4 linked regions of the Macaca fascicularis genome follow. The protein of the gene in region 2 purifies or fractionates together with the protein of the main gene of each other region. This does not show direct contact. Links are inferred from orthologs where the notes say so. Each region holds a gene or a part of one and is shown on either strand. Other genes may lie near its edges.

Region 1 (4,797 bases), on a different chromosome or scaffold from region 2:
CTAGCATTCAGAACACAGTTGAGCCGTTCTCAGGCTCTGAGAAGATTGGTGCTTTAGGCAAAGGGTATGGTAAATGCAAAAATCCTAAAATGGGAATGAGCTTGGCATGTTTGAAGAACAGAAAGCAGGTCAGTGTGGTCTAGGTTAAGAAAGCTAGGGATGGCTGGGTGCAGTGGCTCACGCCTGTAATCTCAGCACTTTGCGAGGCCTAGGTGGGTGGATCACCTGAGCTCAGGAGTTCGAGACCAGCCTCGCCAACATGGTGAAACCCTTTCTTTACTAAAAATACAAAAATTGGCCGGGCGCAGTGGCTCACGCCTGTAATCCCAGCACTTTGGGAGGCCGAGGCGGGCAGATCACGAGGTCAGGAGATCGAGACCATCCTGGCTAACACGGTGAAACCCCATCTCTACTAAAAACTTCAAAAAATTAGCCAGGTGCGGTGGTGGGCGCCTGTAGTCCCAGCTACTCGGGAGGCTGAGGCAGGAGAATGGTGTGAACCCAGGAGGTGGAACTTGCAGTGAGCCGAGATCGCGCCACTGCACTCCAGCCCCGGGACAGAGCGAGACTCCGTCTCAAAAAATAAATAAATAAATAAATAAATAAAAATAAAAATAAAAAAAAATAAAATAAAAATACAAAAATTAGCATAGTGGTGGGTGCCTGTAATCCCAGCTACTCAGGAGGCTGAGGCAGGAGAACTGCTTGAACCCAGGAGGCAGAGGTTGCAGTGAGCCGAAATCGTGCCCATTGCACTCCAGCCTGGGTGACAAGAGCAAAACTCCATCAAAAAAAAAAAAGCAAGCAAGCAAGCTAGGGAAAGGGGCAGAGATTGTCAAGGTCAAGGAGGTGGCAGGGGCCACTCATGTAGAGTGCTATAAGAAAGGACTCTGGGTTTTAGTTGGTGTGAAACAGGGAACCACTGGAAGGTTCTGGCAGGGAAAGAAGAGGATCTGATTTGCGTTAAAGACTTCTCTGGTGGTTGTGAGGACTTTGGAGGGGCCAGGATGAAAACTGGGAGACCAGTCAGGAGGCCACAGCCCAGGAGACAGGATGATTATGGTCAGGATGGGAACCACAGAGATGGAAGGAGGCAGCCAGATTCCTGGTGTTTTGAGGGTGTAGGAGATAAGGGAGAGAAAAGAAGGATGACTCCTTGGGCACTGGATGGATGGAAGGTGCCCTTTTACCAAGCCAAAGAAGCCAGGGGAGGAGCAGTGGCTCAGAAGGAACTCCAGAACTCAGGTCTGAACAAGTGAAGCTTGAGATGCTATTGGATTCCAAGTGGGTTGTCAGGGAGGGAAGGAGACAGGAGAGGACCAAATGGGCATCAGGCAGGCATGAAACCTCTCTCAGGAGGCAGTGCTGCAAGCAGACAGCATCTAAAAGCTGCTGGGCCACCAGACCCTCCTCACAGGGGAAACAGTCTTGTCACTGGCCTCAGAACCTCACATGCACGACTTGCTTTGCCAACCACCAGGCGCTGCTGCATTCCTCCTGGGGCAAGTACTAATGACAGGTCGGGAGAGTCAGGAAGGTGAGGTGGGGGTCCTCTGAGCCTTCAAGAAATAAGCAAAGAACAACTCTGTGGGAGTTAACAGACTCCTTTCTCGGCCAGGCATGGTGGCTCATGCCTGCAATTCCAGCATTTTGGGAGGCCAAGGCGGGCAGATCACTTGAGGTCAGGAGTTTGAGACCAGCCTGGCCAACATGGTGAAACCCAGTCTCTACTAAAAATGCAAAAATTAGCCAGGCATGGTATCAGACACCTGTAATCCCTGCTACTTGGGAAGCTAAGGCATGAGAATCTCTAAACCCAGGAGGCGGAGGTTGCAGTGAGCCCAGATTGGGCCGCTGCGCTCCAGCCTGGGCAAGAGAGTGAGACTCCATTTCAAAAAAAAAAAAAAAAAAGACTCCTTTCTCCTTCCTTTCTCATGGCATCAGCCAGGTACCAGGAGGCAGTCAGATGAAGCACTCTTCTGCATTCCAGCCTAAGCCACAGATGGAGGAGAAGGGACGATGTGGCCCAACCAAAAGGAAAGGAAGCCCACATTTGTTCACATTTATGGAGGGCGCACTGCAGACAGGCACATCCTAAGGTTCTTTCAGTTAAACCTTCCCCAATCCCGTGACAGGGAAAGTGATGCCAAGGTGCACAGCTGGCCAAAGGCTAGCACAGGATTTGAACCCAGAAACTGCTGCCTCACTGTAGCCAGTCATAAACCTTGCAGGGCACAGAGACCCCTGCAGCAAGAGAGACCCACACAGTCACCTGCCTTCAAGCCCAAAGAGGACCCAAGGTCACTTGGTGGAGGGGAGGCTGAGGGTGCACTTGGGAGGAAGCAACATTTAGTACAAACATTAACCCTGCCCTCACATGGCTGCCACAGGCCCCAGGTCGCTGGCTGTCCTCCTAGATATTTTTGAGGCTTCACGGCTTCCATACAGAGAATGCCTTTTTCGTGTTTTTGGTTTGTTTCATTGTTTTCCTGGCACCTCCTTCCCATCTGAGAAGGAAGGAGGTGACAGAGTGTTCCCGATGCAGCAAAGTTTCCGACCTGATTGTCCAGAGGCTCTGAGTGCATCCCGGAAATAAATACCCACCCCCACCAAAGGCACAGGCCTCACAGCCTCGGATCGGATTCCTGGGCGAGACCCAGGTCCGCTGAGGGCGGGGAGGCTGTTCTGAGCTGGTGTCGCCGCCAAGAACTGTCCGGACCCAGGGGAGGGCAGCAGCACTCGACCTCAAGGCGCAACTAGTCGAGGCTCCGCCCCAACTTAGCGTCACCCTGGGCCCGCGGGCGGCAGGAAGAGGTCAGCGGCCGCTGCCCGTCCCCTTCTAGCCCTACTTTTCCCCTAGCCGGAGCAGACGCCCAGCGCGACCCACCCCCTTTTCCCTGGATGCTGGATGCGGCGCCTGGAGCCCTCAATGTTCCCGAACCCCGTGCGCCACAGGGCCGACTCTTCCGGAGCCCCGCGCGCCCTGTCCCCTCCTGGGCCCCCGCGGCCCCAGACCCAGGGCGTCCCGGCGGACTCGGTACTGCCGCTGCAGCCACCTTCCCTAAAGGCGTCCGTGCGTGCTGAGCCGAGAGGACCCATCGCCCGGGCAGCGATCTTACCTCGAGTAGCCCCGACCCTGAGACCTGGCGACCGCCGCCCGGGGCCCAAGACCCCTCCCTCGGCGAGGGGGCGGGGCGGGCAGGGCGCGCGGCTATTGGTCACGTGGAGGGGCAGGGCTACTCGGCCGCGCGTGGTTGGCTGGCGGCGCAGGCCGCGGCGCGGCGGGGGCGGGCACTGGGCCTTGGTTTGCTGGTCGAGAAGCGCTAGGCTGGGCACCGAGAACCGACCTGATTTTCTGCTGAGGGCGCGTAGTCTCGAGCAACTTCCAGGGGAAGTCCAGTGTCCGGCCAGAAACCAGGCAGGCGGCCGGCCTCGAAGTCCTCAGGGGGCTGAGAATTCCATCCCCACGCTTCCCAAGTGAAACAGCCCCTCCTTCCGCCGGTAGTTTTGATGGGTGAGGGTCTTCGTGTCTTTCTCTCCTGCATCCCCATGGCCAGGCATACAGTTAGTGCCCAATAAACGTTGGGTGACGCTGAAGTCACAGGGGCAAGGATGCATAGCCTAGAGACGCGCATGCTGGGCCTGTGGGAGTGGGAGCGGGCGGGGGACTGCCGGGCAGGTAGTTGCAAGGCAGGGACGCCGAGGTTGGCTGGCTGGCAGGCTGGGTATGGGTTGGGTCCTGCGTGGGAGAGGCCTCTTACGCCCAAGGGCCTGGGACAGGTACCTCCCGCAGTTCCTGCCATCTGTCTCGCCCTTCCTCTTCTGGGGCAGAGGCCAACACTTATTGAGCACTTACTGCCTTCCAGGCACAGGGCCTTCTATTTTTTTTTTTTTTTTTTTTTTTTTTTTTTTGAGACAGAGTCTCCCTCTGTCGCCACCACGCCCGGCCTCAAGTGAGATTTTATTACTGTACTTTATATCCCTGTGAATATTTCACAACCTTCAGCATTTACAAAGTATGCTTAATCACACCTGAACTGTAATAAAACCAGCTCTGCCTAGTTTAGCCAAGAGGGCATAAATGTGGATTAGTTCAAGAATCAAGCCTGCCTGCTCCCCACCGGGCTCTAGCAGCTTCATATCTAATACTTCCCCCCTCCCCACCCCCGAGACGGGGTCTCTTTCTGTCTCCCAGGCGGGAGTGCAGTGGCGCGATCTCAGCTCACTGCAAGCTCCGCCTGCCGGGTTCTCCTGCCTCAGCCCCCCCCCCTCAATAGCTGGGACTACAGGCGCCCACCACCACGCCCGGCTACTTTTTTTGTATTTTTAGTAGAGACAGGGTTTCACCGTGTTAGCTAGGATAGTCTTGATCTGCTGACCTCGTGATCCGCCCGTCTCGGCCTCCCAAAGTGGTGGGATTACTACAGGCTTGAGCCACCACGCCCGGCCAATATCTAATTCTTTTGGGAAGAACATTGAAAGTGTGGGTGCGGGCTTCCAAATGCGGCTATCACTCCTGTCTTTGCTGGACCTCAAAGAGCATTAAAACAATCCCACTGCCTGACTAGGTGGTTCCCTGCCACCTGTCAACAGTTTTTATAAAAATTTAGACAAAGAACACAACATGCTTCTAGTATTCTGATCAAAAGCTCATGATCTAAAACTAATCATAGGGAAACAGTAAGCAAACCCAAAACGAGGGACATTTAACAGCTGTCCTGTCCAATACAGCAGCTACTAGCCACATGTAGCTATTTTAATTAAAATTAAATAATACTTAGAAGCCAGTTCCTGAGA
Region 2 (3,226 bases):
AAAACATTTTTAGAACTCCTGCATTAGCAGAGCTTACTCACTGCTGCTCAGGGTAGACGTAAGAGGACAAAACCAACTCCTAACCTCCCACACCTACAGACAAGCCCTGCAGTGGAGAACGTCCCATCCTGTTTGTGTCGCTGGAATCGGGGGGCAGGATGCTCTGAAGGGAAAGGTAGGACTGAACACAGAACTCTTGGTTCACTTGCCTGGTGGGAGATGCGGGTACAAGGCAGCTTCCTTCAGCCCTGTGGGTCCCTCCTGGGAGGGGTCCAGAGAGCTTGGCCCTTCGGATTCTGGCATCTGTAGGGACTGGAGTTCACCTGTGGACGGGTCCACTTCTTTTGAAGACAAATGGGTCCAGTCATCGTCTCCTCCTGAGCAGTTATCAGACTCCATCTGTTCCTGAAACAGAACTCACCATGAGCATACAAGAGACACGCGCAACAGGCCAAGCCTGACCATGGCACTGACTCCTGGCAAACAGTCGGGGAGCGTGCACGCACACATGTGTTTAAGGCTGCAGGGGGCTACGGGGATCAGTGAGCCACTCACAAAGACCAAGTAACTACAAAGTTCTAGCAGGTTCCCAGAGTGACTTTAATGGCACAGACATCACTGCAGCAGCAGCAGCTCCCTCAGGTTTCATAAGTGGCTGCATAAGTGCTGAGGATGAGGCGGAGGTGCAGCTACAAATCGCTAGGCTGCCCGAGGTCCCAGGTGGTGGGAGGGGCACAGGCTTGCCTCAGGCCGCCCCTCGGACTCCAAGGCGATCTTTCTCATCTGCTCTGCCAGAGACTGCGTGGCGCCCTCAACATTCCCACCCGGCTTGCTGGGGTCAGAGCAGCAGCTGCTTGGCTGTGAGCTGTTCTTCTCCTCTGTGCTGGAACTCTCTGGAGAGGCAGGGGTCAGGCGGCTTCTTTTCCCGCCGTGCTCCACGTCAATATCCACTTCAATGCCTAGAGGCCAAGGAGGAGAGAGAAAGCTGTGACACTCCCCCAAGGAGGCAGCTGCGAGCAGGAGTGTGGCCTGTGGGGACTACAGACTCATGAAGATCTCACGTTCAGTCCACACAAGCAGGTGAGGGTGTGGATGGCGGCACTCAGTGTGTGGATGCAGGGGCTAGGTTCTCCTACCCAGCTTGACCCCGGAATCACACAGTTAGTATGGGACTAGACGATGCAAACGTGTGAGTCCGAGGCTTCTCCCAATATCCCAGCTACAAATTTCTGTGGCTTCTGGAAACATTCTCGGTGTGCCCGCGATACTGGAGCTTTCTCTTTCTCCAATTCAGTAAAACATTAACCTCAGCTAGCATCTAAGGTCAGCTTCTAAGCCAGAAAGTCAAAGAGACCTTGTTTTTTCTAACCATGCAGGGTATGGGCTACACAGCAGGTAGGGCCAAGCCCTAAGTACGGGGGAGCCAACACTGCATGTGGCGGGCACCTCCAGCCACAGTGATGGAAGGCTGTGTGTGCCTCATGACACTTGCACACAGAGGCTTTGGGTGATGACATAACACGCACCTAAACGCTGGGCTCCGCTCGGAGTGGACAGGCCATGCAGGCGAGGCATGGGGCCCGACGTGGCAGCGCAGGGAGCCTGCACACCTCCAGGCTCACGTAACTCACCAAGGACAGAGGAAAGAATCACCTGCACTATTCTGAAATTAAATAGTGTCAAAAGTCTCCATGCCCACAGCTTAGAGTCACCGGTTGTCAAAGGCTGTGGTGCACACACTGCTCCCATCCCACTCCCCAAAGCCTCCCTGCACCCTTTCAGCTCATGCTGCTCTCACCTGATGATCGAGTTCACATCTGTGCATTTCCTACTCTAGACCAGTATCTGCCTCTCCTTCCACTACCCTTTCCAAGACTCAGTTTTTTGTTAAAAGAACATTCAGTGTTTCAGCTAGTACCTCTATCTAAATGTTCTTTGCTGGGTCAAGGGGCAGACTATTTCCTTGCATAGCTTTTTGTTTTCCTACCACTGATGACGGCTTCTCTTTTTTTTAGACGGAGTCTCGCTCTGACGCCCAGGCTGGAGTGCAGTGGCGCAATCTCTCGGCTCACTGCAACCTCCGCCCACCGGGTACAAGTGATTCTCCTGCCTCAGCCTCCAGAGTAGCTGGGACTACAGGCACATGCTACCATGCCCAGCTAACTTTTATATTTTTACTGTAGAGACGGGGTTTCACCATGTTGGCCAGGCTGGTCTTGAACTCCTGACCTCAGGTGATCCGCCCCCCAACATGCTGGGATTACCGACATGAGCCACCGCACCCAACCTGCCTTCTCTTTTCATTTGCTGACTTTCCCCATGTTCTCCCCACAGCATCTCCATAGTTTTCTACAAACTACAGACTATTGCTCAGAGGGTGAAGTGGATCCGAGGCCCCACTGGTTCTGGTGTTTTCCATAGAGAGTGTCCCCGGCTGTGCAGCCTCCTGTTCCAGCCAGGACTGGCGGCTCTCTGGGCAGAGGCTCTGCTGCACTGCTGTGACCACCTTTACTTTCACCCTCTGTCCTATTAGGTCCCCTGTTTCCTAATAGCTCTGTGCTTCATTTCGGGTTTATCTCTTCATGTGGTTCAAACCAAGGTTAAAATAATTAAGACTGTATACCAGAAAGTAACTTTGTTCTGCCCTGATACTTGATTGTTTTAGATGGTTATAGAACTCTAGGCTGGACCAGGCACAGTGGCTCACGCACGTAATCCTAACACTTTGGGAGAACAACGTGGGAGATCTCTTGAGCCCAGGAGTTCAAAGTCGGCCTGGGCAGCATGGCAAGACCCCATCTCTACAAAATGTTTTTAAAACAGCTGGGCACAGGGCTGGGCGTGGTGGCTCACGCCTGTAATCCCAGCACTTTGGGAGGCCAAGGCAGGTGGATCATGAGGTCAGGAGTTCAAGACCAGCCTGGCCAAGATGGTGAAACCCCATCTTTACTGAAAATATAAAAATTAGCCAGGCGTGGCGGCGGATGCCTGTCATTCCAGCTACTCGGGAGGCTGAGGCAGAAAACTGCTTGAACCCAGGAGGTGGAAATTGCAGTGAGCTGAAATCACATCACCGCACTCCAGCCTGGGCGACAGCAAGACTCCGACTTGGGGGGGTAAAAAAAAAAAAAAAAAAAAAAAAGAAAAAAGAAAAAAAAAAATCTAGGTACAGTGGCACATGCCTGTAGTTCCAGCTACTTGGGAGGCTGAAGCAGAAGGATCACTT
Region 3 (5,076 bases), on a different chromosome or scaffold from region 2:
AAAAGGTATCTGAGAGACCTCAAACATAAAATCATTACAAGAAAAAAATAGAACAAAATTCACCCAGAGTAGGAATCTAGCAAGAACCTAAGCAAATATGGCTACCTTAATCAAACAATAATTTTAGCTCTGGACTTAAAGACAGTGGCAGCAAACAACACCTGAACAACAAAAAAGCAATCACAGCAAGCTCTGTAATTCAGAGAGAGAAACCTTACTGTCACTAACACTTAAAAGGAATTTTTCAGATGCGTCATTACACAGGTACGTTGAACATAATAATAGACGGTAGCTACCATGGCAGTTTACAGCCCACGAAGTCGCTTTCTTCTCAGGCATGTAAAGTCTCGTGCCAAGGTCATCACATTAAAAATAACCCCTATAGCCCATTTCTTCAGTGGCTAAGATGCCAAGGCTTTCTCAGCCTCTAAGTGAAACTAGAACTCCTCAAATATCTATCCTCTCAACTGGACTTGTGACAGCAGTGGAGGCTGCAGCTTCATGCTGAACTTGCTCTGAGAGCCTAAAATGGAACTATTCTTTCCTCGCTGGTGATCCCACTCGAAATCCTTCTGCTTTGGATAGCAGATGGAGAAAGATGCAAGGCTGACAAGCTGCCACAAAAAGGGCCAGGTCAGGCCTGTATTCCCAAGGAGTGGAGCCAAGGTAGAGCGGTCAAACCTCTCCAAGAATCTGCAAGGCCAGAGCACAGCAACCAACCTCACTGCCACTGCTGCTACTCTGTGTGCAGGTACAATCGAGGGCCCATAAAAATACTGATTTATTGGCCACGTTCACAAGGCAGCAAGGCCCAGCAGCATAATCCTTCTCTATATTTCAGCGCTAAAAGCGCAACTTTTTTTTCATTTTACCATTTTAAGATGCTATATACGAAGACAAAGCAAAACGTCTGAAATAGAAACACCAGCAGATGTGGTGGGACATCTGCGACAGGCACACCAGCAGGGATCCTCTCCTGTGACGGGTGTCTGGAAGATCAGGGGTTACTGCAGTCAAAGTTCCCTGGGGACTCACAGGAAGGAAATTGAAATTCCTTTCCCCAAACAGCAGCCCCACTCCCGCCCAGACTGGCAACAGCAGACGCCAAAGGATAAAGGGGGTATATTTAATAAAGTGAGTAGATTTCTTAGAGTAGAGCACAACACTGTCACCTGCTGCAAGAGACAAGCCTCCCTGTCGCCCAGCCCTGAGTCACTTCCCCTCCCAGCACTCTTGAGGCCCAATGCCTGCGGGGGGCAAAAGACCTGGGGCCTCTGGAGCACGCCTCCCGCAGCCCGCACTCCACTGCTAAGACGCGCGCGGGGCCTCCCTCCAGGGCGCGTCCCCGCGGCTGCCAACCGGCTCTTTGAGCCCAAGCCCGCGCCACCACTACCTTGGCTAATGGCAGCACTGAATGAAAGGAACCGATGCAGACTCCGGATTTATGAATGTGCAGGGGAGGAGGGGAGGGATATCATGTGACAATAAAGGAGAGCGTCTTATTCACAAAAAAAAAAAAAAAAAAAAGTGGCTGGTGGCGGGCACAGCCACTGAGCAGCAGCGGCGGCCGCCGCGCGATGACCGCTCGGACCCCAGGCAGAAGACCTGAGGTGTCGGGCCCCGCGGCCCCGCCCCCGTCGCACCCGAAACAGAAAACGCCTCGGACCAGGAAGAGAAAATGCCAAACTGGACCCCTGGACCGCGAGGCAGGAGGCAGCTGCACCTCCGCCCCGGGCTGGCGACAGTCACGGGTCCCGCGCGGGGCTGCCCGGGATCCCTCCGGCGGAGCGCCCCAAGCATTGTTCCCCTCGGGCCTGCGGGCCGGGCACAAGCCCGTGCACGCGCACCCGCGAGGACACACACACACACTCGCCCCCAGAGCGCTGCCCCGCACGCCCCCGCCGCACTCGCCTAGGTCCGCCCCGAGCCGCCTGACCCCGCAGGACGCGTGTGCCGACCACAAGCGCGTGCACAGGCACTCACGCACAGCGGGGCCCCTCGGGCGGCTCCAGCACGCCGGCCCGCGCGGGGACCCTGGCGCACCAGACCCCAGCGCAGCCCGCGCCCGTCCTCCTCTCGCTCCGCCGTGTTTTTTATGAATGAAAATGTGGTATGCAAATGAGAGCGATTCAAGAAAACGAAATGGCGGAGCCTAGGCCCCAGTGGGCTCAGGAGCGGACTGCGGGGCTCGCGGCGCGGCGGGAGTCACAAAGTCACTGTGCAAAAACCCACCGGCCCCGGGAAGCCGGAGTGGGGGTGTCAGGTCTTCCGCTCCAGCCGCCGAGGATTTCGGGGGCGGGGGGGTGCTGTGAGTCCTCGGAGAGGGAGCGGGGACCGCCCGGAGGTCACCCGCACGCCCTTGGCCCCCGGGGCGGCCACCAGCCCGCCGACCCTAGGCGTGCGCCCGCCAGCCCGCAGCAGTTTTTGCCCCCTCCTCACTTCAACAAGCAGGGAAGCCTCGCGTCCCAACCCCGACAGGTCAGCGAGTCGCTGCACCCCACGCCAAGTTCACCCAATAAGCGTCCCCGCCCGCATCCTCAGCCCCGGCCCCCACGCTGCCCCCGCGGGGCACCCTCGTCCCACCCCGCGACCAAACTTACTCGTCCGGGTGTGTTTCTTCGGTCATTTTCTTGTTCACCTAGACGCCTGTCCCGCGGCGGGCAGCTTTGCTCCCTTCATCTTCCTGTCCGCTCGCCCCCCTTCTTCACATCTCCGGAGATCGCCTGATTTGGGGAGGGGGGGCGGCTAGAGATGGGGGCGCCGCAGCAGAAGGGGAAGCAGGGAGCGGGGTGAGGTTTGGGGGAAGGGGTGCAAAGGCAGGCTGCAAGGGGAGTGAACGCCGCAGCGCCGTGGGGAGAGGCGGGCGGAGGCTCCGGGGGCTCGGGAGCGGGCAAAGGGGGCGAGATTTGGGAAGGGGACGGCGGTGGGGGAGAGCAGGAGAAAAACAAGCGCGCCTTGGAGCGGCGGGGACTGCTGCGAGGAGGAGGAGAGCGCCGGCCGCGGGTGGGGGGACTCGGTCCGGGGTCGCCCCCGGGGGGCCGGGCCAATCACGGTTCCGGGGAGCGGTCGGCGGCCGGGGGAGGTGCGCCTGGGAGGCAGTGCAGGGCGCCCCGTCCGAGCCCCATCTCTCGACTCCACCGATTTACTCCATATTGGATTCTCACCGCCGCCAACAGGAGGAGGAAGTAGGGCGGAAGCGATGACGTCTTCCCAGCGGCCAGAGGTGGTGGAGTGCAAAAAGCTTCCTACTTGCGACCGAAAAAAACGGGAGAAAAAAAAAAAAAAACTTTGTCCCGCCTACTGAGCACGCCCGGCTTCCTCTCCCCCTCCCTCCTGGCTTCCACTCCCGGGGGAGCCGCGGAGCCGAGTTGTTTGCTTTCGCCGCGACCGTCTGGCTCCGAATCCTCCTTGATTAGGGCTCCGGGTTTTAGGAAGCCCGAGAGGAGAGAGGAGGCGGGAGCGGAGGACTCTTACACATCTGGCTCCCGTTTTTGCCCCCTCCCTCCTTCCAAACCCCAAGATTATAAATCGGGGGGTTGGGCGGGGGCGGAGATGCGAAACTCAAGGGAGGGGAGGGAGTGAAACAGCTTAAGAGGTGCTCAGGCTCAGAGGAACAACTACCCCCACCGCAGGGTGGGAAGGTAGGGGCGGCGCAGGTGCCAGGGGCTGGCTTCTCTAACCCAACCCAACCAGAAAGGAGAGGGGGTTCGACTTTACCAAGGTTCTGAAAGGCAGAGGCTTTTCCGTTTCACGTGAATCTTGTGATTTTTTTTCCTTTTTTGTCTCAATAGAGGAACGGATTTTTGTTTTGTTTTGAGATGGAGTCTCGCTCTGTCCCCAGCCCAGGCTGGAGTGCAGTGGCGCGATCTAGGCTCACTGCAACCTCCACCTCCTGGGTTCAAGTGATTCTCCTGCCTCAGCCTCCCAAGTAGCTGCGACTACAGGCGCGCGCCACCACGCCCAGCTAATTTTTGTAGTTTTAGTAGAGACGGGGTTTCACCGTGTTGGCCAGGATGGTCTCAATTTCTTGACCTCGTGATTCGCCCGCCTCGGCCTCCCAAAGTGCTGGGATTACAGGCATGGGCCACCGCGCCCGGCCAAGGAACGGATGTTTTTAAGAATCATTACTCGTGCAAAGCCCAGCACAGCCCAGAAACGTTTGCATTTCCGTAGAAATTATGGAAATTCTCGCGTTAAGAGGCAGCCCCGGCCGGGCGCAGTGGCTGACGCCTGTAATCTCAGCACTTTGGGAGGCCGAGGCGGGCAGATCACCTGAGGTTGGGAGTTCGAGACCAGCCTGACCAACATGGTGAAACATCGTCTCTACTAAAAATACAAAATTAGCTGGGCGTGGTGGCGAGTGCCTGTAATCCTAGGTACCCGGGAGGCTGAGGCAGGAGAATCGCTTGAACCCGGGAGGTGAAGGTTGCGGTGAGCCAAGATTGCGCCACTGCACCCCAGCCTGGGCAACAAGAGCGAAACTCCATCTCAAAAAAAAAAAAAAGAAAGAAAGAAAGAAAAAGAAACAAGGGACATAGTCCCTATCCCTTGCTGCTCTCCAAACATAGTAGACTTTTCCATCCTCTTGAATGTCCACGGGACAATCCAGATATGATGTTAACTAAATAGCAACCACTGAACATCAGGTTAAGAGATTAAATATTTGCCTCAGGCTGGGTGCAGTGGTTTATGCCTGTAATCCCAGCACTTTGGGAGGCCGAAGTGGGCGGATCACCTGAGGTCAGGCGTTTGAGACCAGCCTGGCCAACATGGCAAAAACCTGTCTCTACTAAAAATACAAAAATTAGTTGGGTGTGGTGGTGGGTGCCCATAATCCCAGCTACTCCGGAGGCTGAGGCAGGAGAATTGTTTGAACCCAGGAGTCAGAGGGTGCAGTGTGCCAAGATTGCACCATTGCACTCCAGCCTGGGCAACAAGAAGAAACTTTGTCTCTAAACAAATAAATAAATGCCTCACATTTAGTATTCCTAAAATTTACATGCATCTAGGAGCCACAAATCCTCCAAAAAGTTTCACCTTGAGTCAGGGAGAAACTGATGGTTTACTCCGGGCTTC
Region 4 (4,975 bases), on a different chromosome or scaffold from region 2:
TAGATGGAGACACGAAGTTAAGGGCTCATAGGAGGAGGATCAAGAGGACTCAGTGGCAGACTGGATGGACTGGATTGATTGGACATGGGGGTTGACGGAGAGGGTGGAATCGAGGTGAGGTCCAGCTTTTGGCTCCTGCAATGAGAAGAGATGATGGCTACATGTCCTGAGCTGGAGGAGAAGCCCTTATTTTGGGGACTATGGAAGAAAAATTTTAAGTTTAATTTCAGACCTGTTATGTCCTGGCAGTATCATGAAAAGTGGGTTTATTCTGTGGAATAGTGGCAGTGCACCCACTAACAATGAACACAGTGCTAGTGGGGGAATAAAAGGTGCAACTTTCGAGGAGTGCATTTTGACAATATCAAAATGAAAAACAGGCTGGGTGCAGTGCTTCATGCCTGTAATCCCAGCACTTTGGGAGGCTGAGGCAGGAAGATCACTTGAGCCCAGGAGTTCAAGACCAGCCTAGGCAACATAGCGAGACTCTGTCCCTAAGAAAAAAAAAATTATCTGGTCATAATGGCACACACCTGTGGTCCCAGCCATGCAGGAAGTTGAAGTAGGGGAATCACTTGACCCCAGAAGGTAAAGACTTCAGTGAGCCATGGTTAGGCACTCTAGCCTGGGTGACAAAGTGAGAATGTCTCAAAAAGACAAACAAACAAAAAAAATGAAGTGTGTGAGTTTTGATTCAGCAATTAATCCCATTGCTAGAATGTATCCTGTAGAAGTGTGCTTGTGTAAGCATGCAAATACAAAGTTATCCTGCAGCCCTTGTGACAGAAATAATTTGCTGTCTATAATTACAGGGCTGGTTACATAAATTATACTTCATCCACACAACGGAAAAATTTGCAGCCATTTAAAAGGTTGAGGACGCTGTTTATAGCCTAATCGAAAGGATCTCCAGAGTGAACTGTTAAATGAAAAGAAAGCCACCATCCACGCAGCTGTGTGACTGTGTGTGGGGTGGCTGAAGGAGAGGGCAGTAGGGCATGTCAGGGCAGGAAGGTTCTCTCTAGAACCCATCTGCCCACCCACTTAAACTCCATTCCAAGGATGTGCATGCCCAGGTCTGAGCACTGGTGCGAGAGGGACCTCAGCCTGGTGAAAGACCTTCCCAACAGTTCAAGGCAGGATGAACAGGGAAACATGAGTCAGTTACCAGACAGAGGCCCACCTCTCCAAGTACGCGGCTCCTAAACGGAAGAGCTGCCTTGGAAGGGAAGGTCTCCCCACATGAGTGAAAGGTCATGACTTTGGCTTGGTAAGAACGCAGTAAGGAGTGGCTTAGTCAGATATTCCTGGGTTCTAATCCTGTCTCAGACCCTTTCTAGCTGGGGGGTACCCCTGGTCAAGTTCCTCAAGCTTTCTGAGCCTCAGTTCCTGTAAAGTGGGAACAGGATGCAAAGTTTACAGGTTTTTAGTGATGATGAAATGAAAAAACAAATGAAGCACGTAGAGCTTATAGACCTGTTGCAGGGTAGGTGTCAGGAAATGGTCACTATTAGCACTCATCCTGTTGTTCTTCACAGCAAGATGCTTAAGTACCATCCTTGGGAGTCTTAGAAAGCTCCCCAGGTTCGAGGCTGGGATGACAGAACAGTCTCAAGGCTGTTCTGAGTCCCGCAGGATGCTACCTGGCCGTGCACATGCTTTGTGCCCTGTGCAGCAGGAGACTGCCTGGAGTCCCTCTGGCCTGTGCCACATCAGTACTCCAGGCTGCCTTGGCCCCAGTCATCCCTCAGAGCCTGTTGGGGCCTGGGATAAGCTCCACCCAGATGGGGACAGATGGGGTAACTGAGTCTATAAATCTTGGGCAAGGCATTTTGCAGACCACACTGCAGAATAGAATCTGTGCTGTGGAATGAAAGCAGCCCCTAATATCTACCTCTTGCTGTTTCCTGCCATACTCGAGACCCAGGGAAATGAGGGCGGGTTACATCAAGCGTGCGCGCGCTCACAGGTGTACACACACCCCTGAGACACTGTCTAAGCCAGCCAGCGACAACACATCCAGGGAAGACAGACATTAAGTGACACACCCTTGCCCTCCACGGGTAAGCGTTAGCGCGCACACACACACACACAGCCCTCCCAGCTATCACACCCATGGTCTACACAAGCAAGGCCGGCCCCACCACCCCCCGCCCCGCCCCCCGCAGCCAGGCCCCTTCAGCGGGAGCGAAAGCGAAAGGCGGCGGTGTCCCAGTCAGAAGTTTCAGCGGAAATTGAAGGGCGGCCCTGGGACAGGAGGGGGTGAGGCAGAGGGAAAGAGGTGGCTGTCGTCCCCCGCCCTCCCCGGTCTGCAGGCACAGCACACACCGCAAACACACGCGCACCTTCCACCTGCAAACCCGGAGCCACGCAGCGGGAAGAACCAGCGGCGCTGCCCGGCCGGGGATCCCGCGCTGCGACTTCGCTCCCACTCGTTCGGCTCCCGCACCACTCGCTCAGTTCGCTCCCAGGGCACCCCACCCAGCCCTCTCCCGGCCGTGTCCTCTGCACCTCCAACCCCTGCCACCAAGTGCCCAGCCCTCCAGACAGTTCTCACCATCCCCGGAGGCACAGGTCCCCGGGACCCACCCTCACCCAGAACTCTCTCCTACGGGTTCCCGAGGACCCCCGCAGATCCCCCGCAGATCCTCCGACACCCCCATAAAGAGTCCTCCAGTGCCCCCCACAAGCCCCTCACCTCACCACACGACTCCCCTGTCCCACACTCACGCAAAACAGACCCTCGCACACCCTCCTCTAGGGATGACAGCCGGACACCTCCGTCCCTGGCTTCCCCAGCCAAACTCGGGCGACCCCACGCCCTGCGGGGCCGCGTCACCTGAAGCCCGGGGGGAGCACTAGGCCCAGGGTGTCCCCCGACGGCAGAGTCTGTTAAAAGGGGTGTTGTGTGTGTGCGCGCGTAACACGCAGCAACACGCAGAGGCGCAGAGCCTCCCGGCGCCCCTTCCCCGGCCGCCCGCTCCAATCCCCCAGGCTCCGGGCAAGTCCACAGTCCGCACCCCGCCGAGTACCTTGTCCTGCCGTCCCGCGTGGGTCCTGGCGCCGCCGGTGCTCAGAGCCTCTAGGGTACCAGCAGGTGGGCCGGCCCGCTTCGCTGCTGCCGAGCTCGGGATCCCGGTCCAGCTCCAGCCCGGCCCGGGTCCTAACAGCGGACGTGTGCGGAGCCGCCCCCACTTCCGCTGCGAGTCTCGTGCGCTCCCGGCTCCCAGCCTGGGTGATGTAAACCTGAGCTAATCAGCCGCCGTCTGATGCCCTCAGGCCCAGGATTGCACCATCCCCGCGCCCCGCCTCACCGGGTCGCCGCCAGGGCGCGCTCCGCCAGGGCCTCTCTCCTCCGCTGCACCTGGGGACCCCGCCCTTGTTGGCCCACTAGGGTTGTCTGGTCTCAGTGCAGACACCAGCCACGGACTCTCCCTATCACCTTGGAAAAAAACATTTGCTTTTCTGAGCCTTACTTTCCCCACCTATGAAATGGGAAGAACATTCCTCCTTCTCGGGATGGTGCTCAAAAGAGCAAACAGTGACTGTTGTCCGGGTGCTTCCCCTTTTGTAAAGCACATTACCAGCACCGCCTTATAAAACCTTTAGGAGAAGTGGACATCTGGCAATCTCCATTCTCCCCCTTCTACTGAGAGCCAGCCTGAGGCCCAGCTGTGGGCAAGTGGTCCAGAAGCTTCAGGAAGGCCTATGGACCTAAGAGCTGACTCTGGGCTCAAAAGAACCACTGTGGCACCCTGGGGAGGCCTAAGGTCTGGTGAACTTCCCCGCGTTCCTTTGCTAGAGGCAGTGCGGCCTAGTGGCGAAGAGCCCCTAGAGCCAGCTGGCCTAAGAGTGCACTCCACCTTCCCCTCCAACCCACAGTGCTACCCCAGAAAAGCTACCTAAAACCCTGCCTCAATTTCCTTTTCAATAAAATGGGCTCATAATTGTGCTCACTTCATAAAGTTATTGTGAGGATTAAATAATGTAATATGTGTAAGACGCTTAGAACAGTGTGTGGCACATTGCGGATGCTCAATGGAGTGTAGACAATGGAGACAGAGAGGGAAAGAGGCCTTTAATATGCTTGCACCCTAGGCCTGGGAGGGCTTGGTGCTACTTCCTTTGGGGTGAAACATCCCTCTGCGTCCCAGGGGTCCAGCACCTTTCTTAGAAATCCCTTTTGATCTGAATTCACTAGTGTCAAAATATAACTCCTCAGCTGGGCGAGCTGGCTCATGTCTGTAATCCTAGCACTTTGAGAGGCCAAGACGGGAGGATTGCTTGAGGCCAGGAGTTTAAGAACAGCCTGGGCGACGTAGTAAGTCCCTGTCTTTACAAAGAGAAAAAAATAGTGGGCATGGTGGTGTGAGCTTGCGGTCCCAGCTACTTGGTAAGCTGAGGTAGGAGGATCACTTGAGCCTAGGAGTTCAGGTTACAGTGAAACATGATTGTGCCACTGCACTCCAGCTTGGGTGACAGAGTGAGATCCTGTGTCATAAATAAATAAATAAATAAATAACTCCTCTAGAGGCCAGACGTGGTGGCTCACGCCTGTAATACCAGCACTTTGGGAGGCTGAGGCAGGTGGATCATGAGGTCAGGAGATCAAGACCATCCTGGCTAACACGGTGAAACCCGTCTCTACTAAAAGTACAAAAAATTACTAAAAATACAAAAAACACGCCTGTAGTCCCAGCTACTCGGGAGGCTGAGGCAGGAGAATTGCTTGAACCTGGGAGGTGGGAATTGCAATGAGCTAAGACCGTGCCATTGCACTCCAGCCTGGGCGACAGTTTGAGACTCCATCTCAAAATAAAATAAAATAAAATAAAATAAAATAAAATAAATAAGATAACTCCTCGGCCGGGCGTGGTGGCTCAAGCCTGTAATCCCAGCACTTTGAGAGGCCGAGACGGGCGGATCACGAGGTCAGAAGATCGAGACCATCCTGGCTAACACGGTGAAACCCTGT

Evidence for each region.
Region 1: the proteins of SQSTM1 (region 2) and MAVS purify together in Homo sapiens (affinity purification with western blotting; 3 studies listed by BioGRID). This does not show direct contact. The link is inferred for Macaca fascicularis from reciprocal best matches to the Homo sapiens genes SQSTM1 and MAVS.
Region 3: the proteins of SQSTM1 (region 2) and SPRED2 purify together in Homo sapiens (affinity purification with western blotting; 3 studies listed by BioGRID). This does not show direct contact. The link is inferred for Macaca fascicularis from reciprocal best matches to the Homo sapiens genes SQSTM1 and SPRED2.
Region 4: the proteins of SQSTM1 (region 2) and TRIB3 purify together in Homo sapiens (affinity purification with western blotting; 3 studies listed by BioGRID). This does not show direct contact. The link is inferred for Macaca fascicularis from reciprocal best matches to the Homo sapiens genes SQSTM1 and TRIB3.

Annotation. Positions count from the first base shown.
Region 1 is NC_088384.1:83,439,750-83,444,546, forward strand, and holds the start of MAVS (mitochondrial antiviral-signaling protein), read right to left. Parts: upstream 3,180-4,797; 5' UTR 3,120-3,179; intron 1-3,119.
Region 2 is NC_088380.1:186,725,256-186,728,481, reverse strand, and holds part of SQSTM1 (sequestosome-1), read right to left. Parts: intron 960-3,226; coding exon 745-959; intron 406-744; coding exon 210-405; intron 1-209. UniProt on the Homo sapiens protein: Molecular adapter required for selective macroautophagy (aggrephagy) by acting as a bridge between polyubiquitinated proteins and autophagosomes.
Region 3 is NC_088387.1:56,458,582-56,463,657, reverse strand, and holds the start of SPRED2 (sprouty-related, EVH1 domain-containing protein 2), read right to left. Parts: upstream 3,180-5,076; 5' UTR 2,627-3,179; coding exon 2,601-2,626; intron 1-2,600. UniProt on the Homo sapiens protein: Negatively regulates Ras signaling pathways and downstream activation of MAP kinases. Recruits and translocates NF1 to the cell membrane, thereby enabling NF1-dependent hydrolysis of active GTP-bound Ras to inactive GDP-bound Ras.
Region 4 is NC_088384.1:87,030,944-87,035,918, forward strand, and holds the start of TRIB3 (tribbles homolog 3), read right to left. Parts: upstream 3,180-4,975; 5' UTR 3,106-3,179; intron 3,066-3,105; 5' UTR 3,033-3,065; intron 1-3,032. UniProt on the Homo sapiens protein: Inactive protein kinase which acts as a regulator of the integrated stress response (ISR), a process for adaptation to various stress. Inhibits the transcriptional activity of DDIT3/CHOP and is involved in DDIT3/CHOP-dependent cell death during ER stress.